Caenorhabditis elegans: one gene and its partner. The protein of the gene in region 1 purifies or fractionates together with the protein of each later gene. This does not show direct contact. Each region holds a gene or a part of one and is shown on either strand. Other genes may lie near its edges.

What was found. The genes of interacting proteins can lie anywhere in the genome.
Region 2: the proteins of atp-4 (region 1) and atp-5 purify together in Caenorhabditis elegans (affinity purification with mass spectrometry; 2 studies listed by BioGRID, with this or other methods). This does not show direct contact.

What each region holds. Positions count from the first base shown.
Region 1 is NC_003283.11:6,425,653-6,428,782, reverse strand, and holds atp-4 (ATP synthase-coupling factor 6, mitochondrial), read left to right. Parts: upstream 1-1,670; 5' UTR 1,671-1,672; coding exon 1,673-1,915; intron 1,916-2,240; coding exon 2,241-2,387; 3' UTR 2,388-2,537; downstream 2,538-3,130. Other genes in the region: alh-4 (Aldehyde dehydrogenase), read left to right, coding at 1-1, 60-376, 424-553, 599-737, 828-857; T05H4.11 (DUF4706 domain-containing protein), read left to right, coding at 2,940-3,035.
Region 2 is NC_003283.11:11,122,335-11,125,682, forward strand, and holds atp-5 (ATP synthase subunit d, mitochondrial), read right to left. Parts: upstream 1,534-3,348; 5' UTR 1,532-1,533; coding exon 1,477-1,531; intron 1,390-1,476; coding exon 1,079-1,389; intron 1,034-1,078; coding exon 860-1,033; intron 816-859; coding exon 780-815; 3' UTR 567-779; downstream 1-566. Other genes in the region: mboa-2 (O-acyltransferase), read right to left, coding at 1-74, 120-140; lmtr-3 (Late endosomal/lysosomal adaptor and MAPK and MTOR activator 5), read left to right, coding at 1,976-2,075, 2,140-2,232, 2,280-2,524; strt-7 (Phosphatidylcholine transfer protein), read left to right, coding at 2,930-2,968, 3,015-3,067.

The DNA.
Region 1 (3,130 bases):
AGTTAGTTTATTTAACTATTTACAATATTTATATAATTTAATCTGAACTCTTCTTCCAGTCGCATCTCTGGGCTTCTCGATAAAACTCAAGGAGCTGTTCTTATCGGTGGAGAACGTGATCGTGCAGATCTCTACATCCCTCCAACTGTCCTTGACGTTGAGAAATCTGATCCATTCATGCATGATGAGATTTTTGGTCCAGTCCTGCCCATCATCACTGTCCAGTCTTTCTCGGAGTCGCTTGAGTACATTGCTGATGGAGAGAAGCCTCTGGCTGCTTACATTTTCACAAGAAATGAAGCTAAAGTTAAACGCCTTTTGAATGAGACTAGCAGTGGTGGTGTGACTGTTAACGATGTGTTGATGCACATTACTGGTATGCTATTTTAATTTTAAAATATCTGAATAATTTTTGAATTACAGTTGATACTCTCCCGTTCGGAGGAGTAGGTGTCTCTGGAATGGGACGTTACCGTGGAAAGTATGGATTTGACACATTCACCCATGAAAAGTCTGTGCTTCACAGAGGATTCTTCGGAGAATCTCTTTTAGCGTACGTTTTTTCCGAACCTTCGATACCTAATCGCATTAATTTCAGAGCTCGTTACCCGCCACTAAGCCAACAAAAGCTCGATCAAATGCGACGCCTCACGGGAAAACGAATCTCTCTGAATCTGATGAATGTTGCGACTCTTCCTATCGTAATGGCCTCATTCGTTTTTGGAATGCTCTTCCAGGTATGCAGAGGAAAATCAGCTCAATAGATTCTCACACAGTCAGCACCTGCTTCACTAGATTAATTCACAAATCGCAGTACAATTTTTCAGAAATGTTCTAGAAATGTACAGGATGATTAATTACTGCGAAAATACGTGATATTTAGCTTATCATATTCACATATTTTTGTTGCTTTCCAATTTGCCTCACTAACTTATGTCCAAACATCTAACAATAAACTATTCAAATCAGTTATTGTACGGATATTTCCCGTTTGTAACCTCCAAAGGCTCCTTATGTTTCGAAGGTCCTTCACATCCTTTGTTTTTATGCTTCAGCTAACTAGTACCAATTCGATAACAAATAAATACAGAAAAAATAATACTAGTTTCAGTTCATTTTCCGCTTCTCGGCATAAAATCGAGACATGCTGGTGGAGGTGGCAAACGCGAAATGGCGTACAGTAGGCTCGGTGTTTGCGGACTAGTCGTGCGGTCAATGTTCACTCTTACGTACTTTCACACCACTATTCTTCTTCCGTCTCGCCCTATTTTTTAACTTCTTTTTTTTTTCACAAATTCCTAGTCAATTTTTTCACCGGATCTTCTAATCATTCCATAAACTCTAGTCCATAACCAATTCCCGCATGAAAAGTGTCCCCAAATATTAAAAATTCGTGTAGTTTCAATTTAAAGCAATAATTTTATTAATTTTCATTCCCGATATTTTCAGAAATATGCTCGCAATCTTCATTGATCCGCCAAACGTTCATTTTCATTTTTTTTTTAAATTTTCCTCCCCTCTCTTGAGTATGTTTATTTTTGTAAATATTTTAATAAATCATTGTTTTGTGGAATTTTGCGCTTTGTTTGATTTTCCTGGTTTCCGGTGCCTTTTCTTCGATACTTATAAACATCCTTTGAACAGAAAACAATTTCTAAATTTATATTCAGGTATGTTCCGCGCAGTCCAATCAGTCCGTTCTCTTTCGACCACCGCGGCTTGCCGCCAGGACTTGATCCAGCAGACTTTCGTCACCAAGATCCGCGAAATCGCCAAGAACGCCGGTAACCTGGCTAACTCTGATCCAGCCGTTAAGAAGGCTCTCCAGGAAGAGCTCAACAGATTGGCCACCAAGTTCCAGCTCGCCAACGCCGATGTTGTTTCGAAGCTCCCAACTAACTTTGAAGCTGCTAAGGTAATATAAATGAAGACAAACAAACAAAGATTTATTTAAAAAATAAAATTAGCTAAAAAAAATTTCAGTTACAAAAGTATCGCTCGATTGAACAATTTTTAAATGAATTATCGAAGTAAATTAAAGAAACATCCTTATTTTTGTCGATTAATAACCAAAATAGTTTCAAATAATTTTTAAAAAATCAGCTTTTGTTTTTGTAAATATATTTGATAATCTGAGAACCAGAAGTAACCCGATTAATGTATATCTTATAAATTTTAGATTATTAATAGGCTGTTCCAAGTGCTGAGTTAAAAAAAAACATTAAAATGCTCGTTTCCAGGTTGACTCTGCAGTTCAATCCGCTCTTGAAGGACAAACATTGGCTTCGCTTCTTGAAGGAGTCAAGAAGGACCACTCTGAATATGTTGCCTCCCGTGATGCCAAGAAAGCCGAACAAGCCGCCCGTAATGCTGCCCTCAAGCAATAAATTTAAGCTCTCGATTTTGAATGGTGTATTGTTTCTTTTTGTAATAGATCGTCTATAGACCGAATGAACGTTTTTGTTCCTTAATTTTTGAAATTTCTCTCTGTTCTTTTGTAAACTTTGTTGTTTTAGTCACGAAGCTTATTTTTATTATTCTCATTCAAAATTTTTCGATAAAGTGGCTTGTTATCAGCCATTTTAAACTCGTTCAATCAAATCATGGGTTGTACAGTTGTTCTACGAGCAAACATATTCAAACTCTTCCCCAACCCGTGAATACTCTTTTGAACGGCACCCCATTGCCGATTTGGGGTGCACCATTAGGCAGACCTGTCTGTCCGCAAGCCTCCTACGTCATCACACAGACACTAACCCAGCACCATTGCGCAGACGCGACAGACGACCTTTTATTTGCTACTCATATACCACACGATTTCAAATTGCAGGTTTTCGTTCCGCCGAAATGGATTCAAAACTCTAGTCATTTCAAAATTAATAAAAGGTTTGTGTTTTTTTCTCTCACGCATTTTTAAAATTCCATTTCCAATATTTAAGATGGTCGAATTTTCAAAGGAGTCATCGACCAGAGTCTCTGTAAACTCACAACGACAAATATCGCATGTCCAGAAACGAGAGCTCACGAAGCGAAAGGTTCGTTACTGATGTAACAGATAAGATGGGAAGTAGTGTAGGCGGGATTCTAATGGAAGACTGGAAGGTCAACCGTTCGATATGACATCATTGTG
Region 2 (3,348 bases), 4.7 Mb from region 1:
TGTGCAAATGAGGAGCGTCTACTGGAAGCCAAAGAACCATTAGATGTTTCCGAAGGCTGACGCCGCCGTCGTCCCTGAATTTAGTTTTTAAAAAAACTTTAGAAAATAATAAAACTAACCGTTTGTTGACGCATTTGCATCAGAAATACTTAGGTAACCCTGAAATTCTTAAATGTAGAAGAATCAAGAAACTGCAAAAAAATTTCGGAAAAGAATAACAAGTCAGGCCTGTCGTGCCTCCGTCTGTTTGTTTCATATTTATCGAATCAAGATAAGAGACAACGCGTCTGGCGCCTCTTGATTAAATGTGATCTATCACTTATTTAGAACAATAGTGCACTTCACGCCAATTCTTGATCTTTACATGGAATCCGAATTCAATGTACATAATACACTGACATTAATTGAAACTATGGAAATATTCGTTCAACTTCATTAGTTGGTTTTAACATGAAAAGAAAAAACTTGTTTTGATATCTTCAATCCGATCATCGAAGGTAATCAATGATGCCAACAGATTCTTTTCGCGCGAATTGCAAAGAAATTCTCATATAATATAAAGGAAACATGCGAAAGTTCTTTATCTTGCCATCACTCTTATGAAATACATAATCTGAAGAAGGGGGTATCGACTGCATAAGCTCCCAGGCACATAAAAAAATTCGACGAAATTATAAAACAAACGGCTACAAAACAAATCAAAATGGTCTTAAAAATGGTAGGAGAGCGATAAGGAAGAACGAGAGTTGTCTACTGAACGGTACATCATGATAAATCGTTTAATGGTCGTCAACCTTGTCGGCACGTCGAAGAACCTGAAAATTAATAAATATGACTATAATTTGGTAAATTTCTCCACCTTGTAGTCCTTGAATCTGTTCTCAATTTCTGGAGTCTCGTTGAGTCCGATGTTGCATGGATCAGGAATTCTGTTCTGGTAGCGAAGATCATAGAAATGAGCTGGGAAATACTCGACGAAATGCTGACGATCGAAATGTTCAACTGGTGGAGCCTTGGCCCACTTTTCCTCCACCTGGAAAAAGAATATTAAAAATCTTTTCGAAATAAAAGTAATAACCTTCTTGGCCTCCTGAAGTCCATCAGCGACCTTGACCTCATGAAGCTTAATACGGGCGTTGTTGTAATCAACCCATTGGTCTACTTCCTTCAAATACTCGGCTGGAACCTCTCCGTATGGGATCTTTACAGATTCATACTGCTTTTGAAGAGAATCGAGAACTGCCGAATGAGCCGGGAGGGCCTTCTTCAAAGCAGCAAAGTCGATCTTGGGAAGATCGGCCGGGAGCTGGCTGACAGCGGATTGGAAAGTTCCACTGACTCCCTTCACGCGGGTGAGTTCTGCGGCGTGTTCCGGGACCAAACGCTCGGCTGAAATTAAAAGTTAAAACACTAAATTGTGGAGAAGTTATTTATTACATACGTAAAATACCGTAACTTGTGACTTAAACAACTTACCGAGCTTCGACCAGTTCACGGAAGACGTCGCTACCCTCTTAGCGGCTCCAGACATACCTATAAAAATTGTGATGTTTTAACCTTATTTAGATTAACAGGAAAACGATTTTTGAAAATAAAAAGTAAATATGCTTAATTAGCAGGAAAATTGAATCGTTCACAAACAAAGAAACATAGAATAACTATTTTGAGTTGTTTTCAATTTTTAAGTAACGGAATGAACTGAAAAATAAGCTAAAACAGCTGAAAAGCACAAAAAATAGTATTTTCTGTTCAAAAGGGTGGAGTCTATCGCCCGTGAAAACGCAAAGTGCGGCGCGGTTTTCTCGGGTTCCTCGGCCATTTTTATCGGCCCTCGGGACAAAACTCGGCCACCAAAACCGATTTCAGATTTTTACTCTTATTTTATCAATTCAAGAATTTTCCTTATGTTGCTGATTATTTTAGTGGTATCTGTAGTTAAAAAAAAAAACAAAAAAGACATTGTTTCAGTAAAATGATGAACGTCCAACAAGAGCTCGAAGAGCTTATGCTTACCTATGAGGGGGTCTGCGCAATCTTCATCACTGATCACGATGGAGGTCTCATTCTGAATATCGGTAAGTATTTTCATCAATAAAACCAATAATTAATATAAACTTTAAAAATATAACCATTTTTCAGGTCTTCCATCGACATTGGATAATTCTAGATTCAGGCAACAGCTGATTGTCAGTCACGTGACAACAATCCCTCAAATTCACAAACTCGACATGGGTTAGTTATTGACTTCTCATTTTTATTTCTACTCAGTTATGTTTTAGGAGGTCATCAAACAACCTTTGCATTGTACGAGTCCCACCAAATTGCTGTTCATTCTATTGACAAGTATTATTTCATTGTTCACGCTGGAACCAACACGAACACTGGCGCCATGCTCTCTTTGCGTGAGAAATTATTTCCCATCGGCAGTCATATGATGTCACTTTGCCCACCAATTGATGGAGATGCTCTTTTACCACCACCATCGTACCCTTCTGCAGCTGCACCTCCCCCAGATTTCGACTAATAATTATGTGGTGGCTGCTCTCATTTTCCTGTGATTCCATGATTCGATATCTTTACTCAGCTTTTCAAGTTCATGCCAATCTTAAAAAACCAATCTAACTTTTCTTGTTTTCAAATTATCATACCCAATAACCGTATTTCCTGTAAAAACCTTCCCAGTTTTCTATTGATTCTCATCAAGAATAAAATTAAATTGAAAGATCCGTGGTTACAGAACATGCCTGTTTTCTCGTTGGTTTCTGCCAAAAACTATCTATTTTATACATCTCTAACGTGAACTGACTATAGCATAGATCAATCACTCTGATCGTTTTTTTTTCACTGACCGTACTGATCAAAATCATTTTTCAATCATTTCTTTTAGATTTACTCGAATGCAATAAAGTAAGTCTTATCAAACAAAGATATGCTGAACAGAAATTGGAGCAGTTTTTTGTTTAAACAGGTAAACAATATTTTGATTGAAGTGTGTTCAATTATAATACGTTTAGGTTGCACTGTATCGAAACTTCCGTCAAAATTGGTCACGATTCAAGACGAAAGCGTAAGTCAACTATTATGGAGTGAAGTAGGACCAAAAAAGTCTTACCAAAAAACAAAAAAACAGATTTTGATTTTGGACCAAGAACTACAAATTGGAATTTGTGACCATAAAACCCAAAAAAAGTCGATTTTCGATTTATTTTGAACTTTTAGAAAAAATCATTGAAAACCATTAAAACATATTTTGCTTAAGAAGATTTGTAAAATATGAAAAAAAAGCGTAGATTTTAGTCCAAAATTCGAAAATTCAATTTTTTCAATAAAAAAAATAAAAACCAAAAA